2 linked regions of the Neodiprion lecontei genome follow. The protein of the gene in region 1 interacts with the protein of each later gene in a pairwise test. Links are inferred from orthologs where the notes say so. Each region holds a gene or a part of one and is shown on either strand. Other genes may lie near its edges.

Evidence for each region.
Region 2: the proteins of uncharacterized protein DDB_G0272682 (region 1) and DNA fragmentation factor subunit alpha interact in a two-hybrid assay, tested with the Drosophila melanogaster proteins (2 studies listed by BioGRID). The link is inferred for Neodiprion lecontei from reciprocal best matches to the Drosophila melanogaster genes Drep2 and Drep1.

What each region holds. Positions count from the first base shown.
Region 1 is NC_060261.1:2,386,628-2,394,427, forward strand, and holds uncharacterized protein DDB_G0272682, read right to left. Parts: upstream 6,017-7,800; 5' UTR 5,516-6,016; coding exon 5,498-5,515; intron 4,251-5,497; coding exon 4,154-4,250; intron 3,791-4,153; coding exon 3,617-3,790; intron 1,905-3,616; coding exon 490-1,904; 3' UTR 296-489; downstream 1-295. Other genes in the region: GTP-binding protein 128up, read left to right, coding at 7,330-7,371, 7,470-7,635, 7,698-7,800.
Region 2 is NC_060264.1:25,801,468-25,809,477, forward strand, and holds the start of DNA fragmentation factor subunit alpha, read left to right. Parts: upstream 1-2,075; 5' UTR 2,076-2,094; intron 2,095-2,389; coding exon of another isoform or gene 2,390-2,445; exon of another isoform or gene 2,446-2,477; coding exon of another isoform or gene 2,478-2,479; exon of another isoform or gene 2,480-2,537; intron 2,538-2,676; exon of another isoform or gene 2,677-2,695; intron 2,696-2,807; exon of another isoform or gene 2,808-3,247; coding exon of another isoform or gene 3,248-3,646; intron 3,647-4,120; coding exon of another isoform or gene 4,121-4,225; intron 4,226-4,295; coding exon of another isoform or gene 4,296-4,417; intron 4,418-4,488; coding exon of another isoform or gene 4,489-4,663; intron 4,664-4,757; coding exon of another isoform or gene 4,758-4,841; intron 4,842-4,982; coding exon of another isoform or gene 4,983-5,195; exon of another isoform or gene 5,196-6,264; intron 6,265-6,569; 5' UTR 6,570-6,570; coding exon 6,571-6,748; intron 6,749-6,824; coding exon 6,825-7,137; intron 7,138-7,226; coding exon 7,227-7,347; 3' UTR 7,348-8,010. Other genes in the region: glutathione S-transferase C-terminal domain-containing protein homolog, read right to left, coding at 1-1,441; protein JTB, read right to left, coding at 1,575-1,737, 1,836-2,075, 2,390-2,445; D-beta-hydroxybutyrate dehydrogenase, mitochondrial, read right to left, coding at 3,248-3,646, 4,121-4,225, 4,296-4,417, 4,489-4,663, 4,758-4,841, 4,983-5,195.

The sequences.
Region 1 (7,800 bases):
ACGGTTACGGAGATGAATCCGTATCCCAATGATTCCTACATAATGTATACAGACTATTTAATAAGTACATATTTTCAACAACCGTCTTTATAGAGCTAAAGTGTTTATATCGTATTATTTTTATTTATTTTTCTTCCATATCTTTTCCTCTTTTCTTTTCATTTCGTTTCAATTATTTTATTTCGTCTCTTTTTCTCTTTCTCGTCAAGTTTTTTTTTTTTTGTTTTTTTTCCTTTTTTTTCTATCATTTTTTTTCACCTCCCCCCCGTTTTCTTTCGTCGTTATTTATTTATTATTTATTTATTTATTTTTTTTTCCCCCCCTCTTATCATGATGCGTTATTTTTTTATTTCTTTTTTTTTATTATGAAAACATTTGAAAAAAATCACGTTTTTATGTGTTTAGTACATACTATGTTAATAATAGTTAATAATAACCATTAATAATAGGTATAGGTATAATCTATCTAACTATTAAAACAGCGTCATATTAAAGTCTATCTTCCTCCTCCTCCTCCTCATCGTCGTCGTCGTCGTCGTCGTCGTTATCCTCGTTATTCTCCTCGAGCTCCTCCCTGTACCCGGGGTGTTCCGAGATGGCGTAGTAATTCCCGTTGTAAATAACACCTAGTTCCCTGAGCACGTCGCCCCTAATAACGGCCTTAATAGTCCAGTTGTAACATCCATCGTTCTCGCTCTCCCTGTCCAATCTCTCGACGTCCAGTATCTTCGAGCTTAGCCTTTCTAGTATAATACCGATATCCTTGATGCTAAGATGGTGCTTCTGATCTACCGTGAGCTGATCGATGAGAAGTAAAAATTTTTCCGAAGTCACTACCTCGTCCTCCATTATCGTATTCTCCGTTTCAGACTCGGAGCTGTCGTGATCCTGGTGCAGATGATTGTGATGGTGATGGGTATGGGAACCTCCGTGCCCGTGGAACTGACCCGACGAACTTCCGGCACGGTACTGGTGACTGGGTCCCGCCTCGCTCTCGTCGTCCCGGAACCTGACGTGCCCTTTTATCACCCCGGAACGCCTCGTGCCGTCCGAAAGCGAGGACTGCGGCTGCGGCGACGGCGTCTGATGTTGGGCGTCCTGGATAGGCGATGTCGCAACGGATTTGTGAACCGCTATACGACGACCCTCCTCGTGGAGTGCGCAGCAGTGAAAATCGCACTCGGCCGCGCTTCCTCCGTCGGCACCGTTCACGGGACTACCGTTCCTCGCTACAGGCTGATGGATGTGATTCGAACACTCTGGTGTGTGGATATGGATTGTGGTACTGTCGAACGAGTTGGTACCCTGCTTAACGAGACGGCTACCAGATGTAGAAGGCCCGCTGCTTGACGATCCCGGTAATAAGCTGGAGGCCAGCATCGGACCGTAGGAACTATGACTCGGACTAGTAAAACTCTTCTGTACCATATCGTCATGATTTATCACAGTTATTTGAGGGCTGCTGTAACGAGGACCACCACCACTACCAACACCGGCACTACCACCACTACCACCACCACCACCACCACCACCACCACCAACGCCTCCTCCTAAGTCGCCCGCTCCGTGACCTCCAGCTTTTCCGTTACCTATACCGATCCCGATCCCGTCGTGATAATTCTGCAGCTTGTCCAAGCTCGTCTGTATCACTAACGACGGTCTCTGACCACCCGAAATCAGTTCGCTCTTCTTCGTTGGAGAATATTTCGAGCTCTGACCGTCCTGTGACTTTCCCCCCTGCTGCTGTTGCTGCTGCTGTTGAACCTGCGACGATGACCGCTGATCCCAGTGGAGCACCACTGTGACACGTCCTTTATTGTCCATAATTTTCCAGGATGGCGTCTCATCGTGCAACTCCAACGCGTGGATCGTTTCGCAGACTATTTTCGGTATCGCCGAAATCGCTGCAACAAACACAACGTTCAACGTTTTTTACAATACGCCTCAACCTTATCACACAACGAATCGCACTGTTATATATCATTTCGTTGTAATAATATCAATTTTTGTTTATTTATTTTTTTTTTTTTATTTTTATTGTTTTTTTTCTATCATTTTCGACAAACAAGAAACACAAAGCGCGTAACTTTATCGCATTTAAATGTTGAAAAGGGGGTTAAAAAAAACTACGGATCGGTTCAACTTCCAGAGAGCCGGATCGTACCGTCTGAACTACTACTGCCAATCCCTTTAATCCGCTTGCTGGTCAGACGCAACTAATGTTCACAATACTGCGGTAGTCGCACCCCGTAATGGTTATATGCGAGCCCATTACGTGGCAATTCAGGCTGCACCCGACCACCCTGCCCACAATTTCGAGGAGGAAGTGATATCAATGATCGTAGCAATGGTTGTAGAAGAAGAGACGTAGGCAAAAACAACGAAAGAGAGGAAACAATATTGATGCGATGAGTAAACGAGAGAAGTTAGTGCAAGAGGAAAAGAACACACAAAATTACAGGGGTAATAGAGGGGGTGAGATACGACCGGTTAAAAAATCCTGATAACAATAAATGTTGAGCACCACTAATTACTCTGTGTAATTAATTACATAGAAATTATCAATTAAATTGGTAACTTGTAATTGTGAAAAAAAAAGACAATACCAATTAGATTTGTAATTAGAAGAAAATCCGATACCAACAATAACTATAGACGTAATTTGTAATACGAAGAAAAACTGATACCAATTACATTCATAATTTGTAATCGGAAGGAAAAACTATACTAATCACACTCGTATTTTATATTTCAAATTATTCTAATTACAAATTACAATTGTAATCGGTATTTTCTTTTTCTACTCAATCACGAATAACTAATGTAACGCAATGTAATTAGTAATTTCGACGTAATTAATTACACAAAGTAATTAATCGTGTCCTGCCGTGTACGTCGGATCGCAGAAAAAACTCTCTCACTTTTTCTATTCAATATTAATTGTTTAAATATTGTAAAACATTGGCACAGTTAAAAAAAGTGTCAAAAATTTTTAGAAACAAAAGGCATGAAAAACGGTGCCACGAGGTCTGTTTTCACGTCTAAGGGACTCTACGAGAAGTTTGAAATATGTTTGGGGTGAAATTCACCCCAAGTAACCTATTAGGGTTAACCGGTCACATTTCGCAAACGCGACTTCGGAAAGCACATGTTCTTCGGTTTAATTTACTCAGTTAATTCGACCCCTCTGTTACCCCTATAATTTTATGTACTCAGTTCTGGGACACCCTGTACACATATACAACGTGCAGAGCGTTGGAAGAATTGGAATCTGACGATTGACCTCCTTCGCAAATTGTTCCTTATAAACAAAAATTGAATTCCAATAGAGGTAATCGTGTAATACGATCTTCGGTTGTTCGTTCGTTAACATGATTCACCTGCACACCATTTTCCATAATTCCGTTTAACGCCTTGCGATTTCTATACGATGCAGGTTGTGCGATGATCGGTTGAAGAATAAAGGTAAAAGAGAAGAAGAAAGAGAAGAAGAAGAAGGAGAATAGAACAGGGATCGAAAACGATGAGTGAGGAGATGGTCAGCGATCGGAACTTCATGCAAGAGGAGTGACAAGTATAAGGCAGAGCTGGAGTGAGCCAAGGAAACGTGTCGTACCAGCCCGAATGATGTCAACGCCAGTGGGACACCACCTTTCACCATGTCGCAGGAGTAGCAGTATCGTGTTGTTCGCTAAAGTCTTGAAATATTCCCCGTCCTCGACCTGCGTACCATCCGATTCGAGCACTAAAGAGACCTTCTCATTTTGGGGAACGCCCAATTTTTCTTTACCTGAAATTAAAATATAACAACACCGTCATCACATTGCCCCAATCAATGATCTTTCAGAACCTACTGATAGTTTTTCAACGCCTTATATAAATTGTGTTACATGCAAGATCGGATTCCTTGTTATCACATCGGCATCATCGTCGTCATTCGTTCATTCGACACACTTATAGCGGGGTGGAAAGCAAAAATTACAGACTTTATTAAACACTGTATCCATCACTGTGAACCATCACTGGGATGAGACACTTGTACAAGTGAAGAATTTTTCATTTACTGTGCTTACTTTTGGTTTACGATTGACCCCGAATGAGGGGGTGTGTTTATACGGTTCACTATCGACGAAGTAACTTTGTATTTACTCACCGCGGTGTAACAGTTCTTCAAAATTGCTAACGACCAGTCCCTTTCTTACGTTTCGCCAACTGTCCCATATCTTAAAAGGTCTTTTGCTCCGTAACTCCTGCGGCACAATAGACAAGCAATTATATATAGCAGCGCACATTTGCGGAGGCAGTATAACGTTGGAATACAATATACTGCATAGGGCATCGAACGAATCGTTGGCTGGAAAAATTCACCGATCAAAGATTCGCATCTGCGGATCTTCTCGGATGACACCAACATTTATTTGATAAATAATTTGACTCTGCAGCGAAGGTTAATGAGACTGGCCACTAATGAATCAGTGATAATATACGTAATCGATCTCGATTAATTCTCAATTCAATGTAACGACACTGCACGTTCACTATTCTTAAGAATTGATTATTTCACCACTGGTATGAATAAATATGAATAATGATAACAGAGTGCAGCGGATTGGATGCAATTTGTATAAAACGAGCGGTGGTCTATAACCATGTCTTTTCAACTGGGCGTGACAGATATCCAGTAATTAGACAAAATGCTTTTAAGAGAAAAGTTGAAGAGGGGTCTGCAGGTGGTATAAAATACGATTTGAAACGTTAGTTATCCCCCTCCCTTCGCATCAATTTAGGGTACCGGGCAAAATTTGCATAGCAATGGGCTGAAGTATCTTGAATATATACATATACCTATGTGCAATTATTTTTTTTCCCTTTTTTAGGCTCAATCCTCGAGACAATCCCGTGAAAAATTACATATATTAATACCCAAATGAATAAATGCAATCGTTATAAGTATACGTGAAATTTCTGACGCGTTCTTTCTGCTTGCCGGGAGCAATTAAAAAAAAAATACTTAAGGTAAATGGAAAAGAAGTTTGAATAAATATTGAGGAGCTGGGTTGAAAAGGTTTGCGAATTATGTTTGGGTTACTTTTTAACGTTTTCAACAGGGTGGCGCTAAGCGGTAAAAGCGCACGCGCGACTTATGGTCGAAAACACTGACCTCATTCAACCATACTCATGAAAATATACATAATATGACAAATTATCAAACTGCAATGCTCGTCTAACGATATACTTATACTTGATGACACCGAATACTTATGGTATAAATATTTTATCAATAAACCACCCATTTAATCTTAAACACTCTGTTACATATAAAAATATATATATAGAAAGCTTCTCTGCACGGCAGAAAATTCATTGAATAATTGTTCACAGTAACGAAGAATTCAGACGGAAGACAAACGGGCGTTTTTTCGAATATATCATCACTCGAAAAATAATGAATGAAATGTAAGAGCTATAAGTATAATTGTAGATTTTCTCGGCTCACCTCTGCTGGCATTCGCATTAATATAGATTAAAATAACTATCGATCGATATCGGAATCTAACGTTACAATAACGCTTAAATCGTTGTGGATATAAATGGATTACTTCTGTTCGATGGTGATAAATTGTTATTAAGGGATCAAATAACGGTACGGTACGACACGATAAACGATTATACGAGACGTGAGCTATGGATGCGATAATTAAAAATTCAAAAAGTATGTACACTCGAAGTAAAATGATAACGAGGTCTCCGCGAGAGATCAAAGTAAGAATGAAGAGGACCGCGTACGTTGAACGACTGCACGGGGTCAACTCCCAGGGAAGTAGGTCACGGGTGTGTAGGGAGGAAAATAATCTCGCCACTGCAAACACGTATCAGCGTTCCACGACAAGGGTGACAAGGGGACGGGGTTTGAATCCCTGGGAGAATAAAAACGATATTACAAATAAGGGAGTTGCGAATGTTATTGAAAATCAGTAATGTCACGGGAGGATGATAAAATTGATGTATAGTGCACCCAACGAACGAATGGAAGGGGCGCGCATGCAGGGATGGTACAGGGGAAGACTCGTGTGCACAATCTTGAGATATATGAATAAAAAAGATTTTGCCATACCTCTCTTGCCATTACGTCATATCCCTGCAGGTACGGGACCGTCCCACAAGCACTTATTTAAAAGAAGTAGCGGACCGAACGCTGCAGCATTCTGATCGCGCGGTTCTCGGAGATGCCGGGTAGAGGCGGTCTAAACAACGGACCCTAACAAACGGGTCCCTTGGAAACTACATCTACCAGGAAATCCCTCATCCTACTAGGTATCTTACAATTACCCGATCTAAGATTTCACTAACGCATATGGGCCAAATTGTAACAGTGGCTTCCTCCCAGCGGTTACTGCGGCGACTCCTAGTTTTAGATCGATTCTCTCTCCGTGTACGTACGGACACCCTCACCCTCGCCCTCTGCACCCACCTTGCCCTCTTCGCCCTCGCTATATTCCTCCCACTCACTTGCCTCGCGCCCGGCGAAGGTTTCCTCTTCTTCTTCTTTCCTACTCGTATTCGCTTATATTATTCGACTCGCACTCGCCTCCCTGAATACCTGCCTACCCTTAAACAGCCTACGTCTACCCTTACCGAGTATCCTTCTCGTCTTACGCATTAAACTCGCCCGCTCGCTCCCACTCGCGCCCACCCCTGCCTGCCGCACGCCCAGTCGCGCGCTCTCTCGTATTCCGATTTTTCAACGCCTATACTCGCCCACTCGCCGGTCAACCCACGGGAAAGTTCGAACCACGATTCGAACGCCCTCGTAAGACTTCGCCAGCGACGCGCGCCGCGCCATTTAAATGCAAAATGGCGCCCAACTTGGAAAACTGAAGCGCTATCTGTGGTGTTTCCACATAGTTAGCCACTTCTGCAATCGTCAGACCCATGGTTGGAGGAGAGGACCATCTTCAGCTGTTGCTCTCTCTTTCTAATTACGGCTTCAGCTAGCTGCACAGATGGCATAGTCTGTCTGTATTATCTTGTAAGTCTATGGTGTACAAGCCCGATGGCTACAATCTACAATGAGGATGACGGACTTGAGTAAATCCAAGTAATTCTTAGTCTATGATCAGAAGTTGAATATTTCTATTTTTTTTTCATCTGTTAACCTTTTTGCAGCAACGTCTATCTCGTTCCGTTCGCGGTTAAAGGCATGTACCAGTACACGTGTTGAATAAAGAACGGTGGCAACGTTCGCCGCGTAATGTATTTCGGAAGAGGTTGCAGAGTGCCTTGAGAGTACAATTGAAGCCAGGAAACTACCCTTAAAACCAATACAAGATGAGCACTATATTGGAAAAGATCGCCTCGATCGAGGCTGAGGTAACCTATAAATGCGTTAATTTTTGAACAGCTTCGGTGTCCGCATACCCATTCAAATCACTCGACATCCTCTAATAACATGAAACCTCGATTCTCAGATGGCTCGGACCCAAAAAAACAAGGCGACGTCCGGCCACTTGGGTCTTCTTAAGGCAAAGCTAGCCAAACTTAGAAGAGAACTGATCACCCCCAAGGGAGGCGGTGGAGGCGGAGAACAGGGTTTCGAAGTAGCCAAAACCGGTGACGCTAGAATTGGGTTTGTCGGTAAATATTGAAAGCACTCTGATTAACTGCATTCGATAACATCCCGTCTTGCGTTACAACAGGATTTCCATCCGTTGGCAAATCAACCTTGCTCAGCACTCTTGCCGGTGTTTATTCCGAGGTAGCTGCATATGAATTCACTACCCTCACTACCGTCCCTGGTTG
Region 2 (8,010 bases), on another chromosome or scaffold:
TGCCGTAACAGCAGGGACAGCAGACAAAGATCGCATTCCTGCTTACGCAGTGTTCGATAACCAGGTCCGTCGCCACTCCGCAGGCATGGAGAGATACACCAATGTCAAAGTGTCCCTTGTAATAGTCCAGATTACATTGATAAAATCTAACATTTGTTAACTGAAGTTTCTCCACCCTTTTCTTGGCTCTGTTTAAACTCTCCTCTTTATTTTCTAGCAAAACTACTTCGCAGTTGGGCATCAAGTAGGCTATCAATATCCCCAGATGTCCTCCGCCAGAGCAGAAGTCGACGACTACATCCCCTATTTTTGCCAATGCCATTACAGGCCTGCACAAATTTTCTAACTGCTCAAACTTACGCTTCAGTCTCGTTTCGGGCAATGCACCTCCCTCTGGCGTTGCTTCAAACGGGATTTCATCCCAGTTCAATGTCATTTCCGATCCAAACGGTTCCGATGCAAGCTCGATGCTGATGCCTAGCTCACTGATTAATGCAAATGAATCATCTATGTCAACTTGCTTTGTGTAAATGCGATTACGAGGCTTGTATCGCTTTGGATCGCTCTTATACAGGCTATGGTTTTCAACGTCGGGAAGAACATAGCTGGTAACCCGGTTCTCAAAGCTCGGAGATTCCAAGTGTCTTAAACATCTCAAACTTTCAGATATCATTTCACTCGAAAGCATCCTCGTGTACCACTTTGCTGTCAGTGGTATGAGTTCTAACAATTCACATCTCAATGCGTGGAGTGTAAAAAATGTGTGGATGCAGACAAATATTATGATATCCGCCAATGTGATTTGAGATCCCTCCGCATAAATGTGTTCTGGTATTTTATCCCTGTTACCCGTCATAGTGCCATTGATGGAAAATTTTTTCGACATTGTATACTTGTACAAATTGTGCAATCTCACTGGCTGCGACATATGACATTCAAATCTTGCGATGCTTTCAGGAATCTCATTCGTATCGCTACTTGAAGTTTGACCATGGATAGATTTCAGGGTCGAGATTAAATCCACCTCGCAAAACTTTGTCCAGATACTCGACTCCGAGCAGGCCAGCAAACATGCATCCTTAAATCCTAGTAAGGCTTTGCTGTAGTGCAATGGCGTTTCAAAACACCTACTTTTTACTATTTGACGTAGGGTCGCGCAGAGCCCAGCCACACATGTCGTCTCGTTAACTATTACGTTTGGAAGGTCGCACGTACTCGCATATCGTGGTAATTTGTCTACTTCCATAACTGTGTAAGTAAACCCGGACAGATCAATAAAATTAGACCGTTCCTCATTGCGTGTTTTTTTTGTTACAACCAAGTTAATCGATACGCGAGAATCACAGTATTTTATCGTGAACAATGTTATTATGGTCTCTATCGGGGCGAGGCACAAATCTGCAATGGAATGAACCTCCAGGAAAAGCTGGTTGGTTTCCATAGTCCTTTTTTTTTATATCGTGTACGATAGTGTCACAACTCTTGAAAGTCTGAATGCTACAGAAATGCAGTTCAAATTATACTATGTGAATTTTATATTTTTTTCAGAACCTGAGCTGGTCGGTACCGCCAATCTACACACTAGCTCTGAGTTGTCTAGCCACTTTTCTGACTATTCTTTGCCGCAAGATGTTCTCCCTCCAGTAGACGCTGATGCAAGATAAGACAGCGAGACCAAACATAAGGCCTTCAAATCTCCAGAAACTGCGCTCCTCCAGCCAAGCAACTTTATCACAACTGAAAAGAGTACAAAATGTAAAAAGATAAATGAACCAGTTCAAGTAAAATGTGGAGTTATCACAAATCATGAAAACAATCATAATAACAATCCTTACCTTCTGGTTACAGTTATACCACTCTTGCGACATTTCAACACTTCCTTGTTGCTTGTATGAATGCAGACGCCGATGCTTTCGCTCGCTATTTCGAAAGCTGTACACGGATGACACTCTAATATCACATCAAATTCTTCATTGAGATAACAGCTCGAATTCTTTTCGACAGACTCTACAAATGCCTTGCTGCTGTCCGTGTCTGTCCAATTGCTTTCAATAATCAAGACGAGTATCGTCAACCTGGAAGAAATGTTTTTTTGTAAGTACAACACATCTCTTGCAAAAGTTACAGTATGGTTATATACATGTATATATAAGCAAAAAATGGGGATCACGCTACATAGCTTTGCGCAAAAATGATGACACATTTTTATTGGTCAACAATGCGAACGATAACAATTTTGAAAATATCGTTAATCAGGGTACTGATACTGAACTAATATTAAAAGAGAAAATCCACTCTTAGGTTATTATCGCTAGTGGTTTACAGCAACTGAAAACGTGGGTATGAATTTTCAAGCTGATAAGTGTTATTGATAGAAATGAGAACAGACCCTCCTAAAAAAGTGACGGCTATGAGCATCCGCTTTTTTGTACACGACTCGATCATTGTAATATAAATTCAAAAACTGATGGATTTACATTGAAATGCGTACGTCGATCGACGAGGTGAGGTTATGACTCACGTTAACTCACCCTCCGAATTCGACGAATAATGGATAAGACAGAACCCTTCGTTACCCGCAATGCAGTGTGCCTTGATTGCATCACAGTTCGTCAGTATCCTTAAAGAATGCCGAAAATTGCAGTATTCTGCAATACCAATTTTATTCAACATTGGGATCCCACAAGACGAGTCGGTAAGTGGCAGAGTCGTAGAATTTACCCCCAAACCCGCTCAGATCCGGTAAATCATTTCGAAAAATAACGCTGAGCTACCAGTCTTCATACATCTTCATTCAGCGACGGGGATCATCTACGCTGTTTTAAAAATAACGCCATCTGCGGAGAGGCCGAGAATCTCTTTGACCGAGAACTGATCTTGAAACGAACCTGTCATTCCTGTCATTCTAGCCAAGAGCGCAAAAACTGAGCACAACGTCCTCACCAAAAAAACTGAGTGTAGACTGCGGGTGGAGGAGATACGATATTTATTGCGCAGACGGTTTTTTCGAGCGTGGGAGGGGGACAATAAATCGTATGCCTTGATGGTACGCCCATTTATTTATAAAGCCTTGAAATGTGTTCGAACGATCAACTATGAAAATACATCAAGTCAATATATATACAGTAATCATTTCAAGGGATTTCATTGACTGCCAGAATATCATAAATTTCTTTTTCTCTTCGATTAAATAGGAGAAATGAGCAACAAACTAAAGGAACAGATCTGCAATTGATTTACGAACCATTCAATCCGTGTATAGTATGTCGTATATAGGTTTTGGCAGGTGATCACTTAGTAGCGCTCTTATTCTCTCTCCACGAGACACAGGCATGTATCGCCTCAATGGGAACGTTCTCACTGTAGCGTCGGTCAAAGCTCTGGTAGTTTGAGTCAGATCCGCCTCCGGACCAAGCGTGTATCTCTCTAAGGCAATCATCTCCTTTTGGAATAATTCTTGACCATACTCACGCCGTGTTTGGGGGTCGAGCTGTGTCCACATATCTCTTGCCTGCTCCAGCAGAGAGGCATTGTCTTTCAGCCAGGCACTGCCCGACACATATTCCCCGGTCTCAACTATAACAACATCCACACCCCATCTCCGCATTTCCAAACGTAAGCAATTTCCCCATGCCTCTACCGCTGCCTGTAAGTTTTTTGCATATTTTAGGGACCTACGTGCAGTAGTACAGTTTTTTTTTCGGAGAAAATATACGGTCTATAAACAAAATCAGTTGATTTTCAGTTCCCCACGATATACTCTTGCGCAGATTACATAAAATATTTGGGAAAAATTCAAGTATTGTGCTTCAATCATATTGTCATAAAATATGTACTAAAACTATTCTCAATGAATAACGTACATGAAATAAAAAAAAGCATAGCAAGGGGTTGAGCTGCTTTAGAGACCTCGGAACACATACAGAAACTAGCGCCTTTACAGATTCACAAACCAAAATAAAAAATACTATGAATTTCCATTAGTCAGATAGCGTACAGTTTTATCCTGATTTCAAATTTGCGCTTCCTTATCAAAGTAGCCGGTGTTCAGAGTAATAATTTTAAAAACCTATTGCAATTCATTATGCACAACCGAGTTTGTCACCTCCGGTCTTCTTACCTTTACTGCACAATGTATCCCTCGCACTGGGCTTGGGATTCTTGCGAAAAGGCTTCCTACAAGTATAACGCGTCCCTTAGAGCGTCTCACTAGTGGAAGGAATACCTATTGCACGATAAAAATAATAATATGCAAGTGTCATAGTTTAGCAAACTTGTTGTACAAATGTTTTTACCTGCGTCAGTCTCGATACTCCAATGAAGTTAACTTCCACGCTACGCTTTAGCACCGAAGATGGAATCCACTCACATTCTCCTAGCGCCACCCAGGCGTCAGCATGTACCAAACCCCACAAACCTATAATTAAATTGGAATGCTTGATTTGACTTTTTCAGACTAAGTAACGTAACTCTGGCTGGTCTATTTACCTGGAGCTCCGTCGGGCAAGTGCTCATTGACGTAGAGGAAAGTTGAATGGATATCACGCTCGCTTGTTACATCCAGTTGCAGAACACGCAGTCTTCCTGAGCATTGATCTTTTAGTTTGCACGCTATCTCATTGTTCTCGTTCTTGTTTGAAAAAGTCGCAAAAACTGTGAACCCCTTGAAAGATATTTAACAATGGACATATTATTATCGAGTTATCATTGTAATGATTGTGCATATCGATATTTTGTAGGTTTTTATTTTTATATACCAAGTCGTCCAGCTGCTTCGCCAAAGCATTTCCTACCCTGGAGTCACATCCTGTTATCAATATTGCCTTTCCAGCCGCAGTTACCTATGATAATAATTTTCTTCATCACTGTATTTAGTAATACGTAGCGATGTCGCTATTATGGCCTCAATCGTTAAACTTGCGGATATTTCACTTTGAATAATTGACTTTATTTCTCTTTGTTAGGCAAGTGTGATAGTTTACCTTTAGATTGTGATAGAATAAAGTAGAGCCGAGAGATACGCTGAGAAATAGAAGAAACAGTACAAAACTAGATATCTGCGAAATACCGAAAGTGTTGAGAATCGTGGCAACGATAACTGCAACCGCGTGTGAGAATACGAATGGCAAAAGACATCGTTCTAACAACTCCCACGCCTGGCTGTCCTCGGGTGGTTTATTCAAAGTTTGTGGCATCACACCCTTATTTAATTTCAATATGGATACTTAATAATTGAACTAGTTTACTAAACGCTAGCCAGAGCTCACCTAGATGCCTGAACTGGACTAAGCCCAGGCTAACTTTAAACTTGATACGCTGTCTAGTCTCATTCGGCTAAATTTATCCCCTGCAGCGATGTAGGTACCCAAGGCCCGAGTATGCCTCAGCATGTTTTTTATATTCCTCAAAATACATGTAGATATAGGTGAATCATTTAATTCTATTAAAATTGGACTCTGCTCCAATAGTAAATGCATTGACGTAGAAATCCCATCAACTAATCAAACTTCATATTTGCTATTCACAAAAACTTATGATTATCCTCAATCTTGAAGCCAAAGTGTCCCACCTATGAAGTTCAAAATTGAAAAAATGTATAATACATCTGAAACGAAAGTGGAGAGCAAAACAGCGTTTAAAAAAGAAAAGAAAAAAGGAGATCCTCCACCATGCACTTGCAGATCTGAGGTCACTATTATTGATTTCAGTCTGGGTGCCATGTTGGTAAAGGGAGGAGTTGCCTGTCTGGTTATTCTATGTATATACAGAGAGTACTGAGTGTATAAATAGGAAGGGTGGTTACACCATTGACCCAGTGTTCAGTTGGTGCAAAGTCGGTTCAGTGGCCAACAAATGATACTTTCTTTTTTACTCTACGTCTGTACAGTAGTGATATAATCATATTGAATTGCCACACCACTGACAACCACCATAGCCAGCGAACAGCTTAAGAGATTGCATTCGGATTCCACCCTCTTTTGCCTACATTCAGTATTCATACAGTGCTCACCAAATTGCGTATTGTCATCCTATTAAAATACCCTGTTAAACAGAAGTTTGCTCAAAATTAATTGAGAAAGTTTCATTGCCTAATAGTGTCATATTATCCTTACATATATTTACAGTTTATCACTGTGATTTCACCCAAGTGATTATCGAGTAAAAAGTTGAACGTGAAAGACCCATAATTCGACTGTGTTCTAAACAATCACTTTGGTAATTTTAATATTGATATCATATCTCTGGTGATATAAATAAAACAAGGTAAGGAAAACCATTATAAGACCCAATCTATCTATCAACATTAAACACTTTGTGAAAAAACGATTGAGAGCCACTTTGAATAAGGATATATTGAAAGGATATGTTCCAAACACGTTTTTCAATGATATAATTTTATCCAAACAGCTTTCTAGATTCTTGAATTTTTCATTACAAATATATATCAAGAAATTATTATACTATACTTCCAATAAGACTAAGCAATGAAAGAAACTCTGTGTGAATTCTTATGGCTTATCAGAACATTTTATTTTCATGACATTTATACAACGCCAATCTAATTTCAGGATGTCAGACACTGCAGGGGCAGTACAAGCAACAGCTTCCCCGTATAAGATAATTGATCATGCGAGAGAAAGACGCAAGGGCATTACAGCCTCGTCACTAAAAGAACTCACTGCCATAGCTAGAAACCGATTTGACTTGCCACAAGAAGAGCACCTGACCATTGTTTTGGAACAGGATGGTAAGTATTGTTATTTTAGATTGTAAATATCGATTATCTGGTGATTGACAACCTTAATGAAGTGTGAATTGCGCAGGTACCGAGGTAGACGACGAAGAATACTTTGCTACGCTTGAGAGAAATACAAGCTTGATGGTCCTGTGTGGCCATCAAAGATGGTCAGCTGCTGGAAGCTCAGCTAGTACATCACGCTATGTTCTGCTGGATGATACGGATAGTGGAAAAGAAGGAACATCAAGAAGGAGGGAACGTGGGAATGGGGCACAGATCAAGCCGCTGGTCTCCTCACTGCGTGGAGATCCAACCCACATTTCGCTATTAGGTGGAAACGACTTGGAACTGCTAAGTGATATGGATCCGGAAAGTCTAGCAGACATTGTGCCTGACAGGTGAGGGATGGGTGAAGTTTTTGGGAAGAGAGAACATGTTGGGTGATTATGTGGGCAGTCTGTTGAGTGTTTGAAAAAAATTTCTGCAGGATATTCCTGGAGCAACTGAAGGAGGCGTCAGGAAGATTTTTAGCCGAGAAACGACAGGCGCAGGAATCAATGGCACTATTGCAGATGTATGCAAGCGGAGGAGAGATGGAGCGGGCGTAGGCCATGTGGGGGGTCGGCACCCTCACACTGGCAAACATGTACCGCATTCGAAGACGTCTCATATACAAGGGACGTCACATTCAGCAAACGATGATTTTCATCTGGAATTGAGCCGAAGTTCCATGTCAAATTACCCAATGAATATGGGGCAGAAGGAAGGGAGTAAAGTTTCTGTGATTCATACGTGTATAGATATCTGCCGACTGAATGATGGGCAATTTTTATGTCCTACGTAATGATTAATGGATGATCACAGCTTATAATACACGCTCATAATATTTGGCATACCTTCTGCATTACAGGTATCGTACGTCTTTTATCGGAGAGAATAAATAATTGCAACTTTGCACACAATCGTGTAGGTAAACATACCCTACATAGAATTGCGTTAGGAATTAATCGGCTATAGTATACTGACCCTTTGCAAAATATCCAGTAAAGTATCATTCCACCGCTGCCGAGGCTAGAGCGTAAAAATAATTTCCTTGCAAGGTAGCCACATCGATATTGGCCCAAGGATTAGGATTATATATGATTTTTATAAATGTTTATTACACATTGTATTTCTATAAGAGATAGGTTTTAGTTGATACCAAGTTTTATGAAATGTTTAAGACTGAATTTCATTATATTGAGAGGTAAGTAAAGTTTCATCCCCCATTT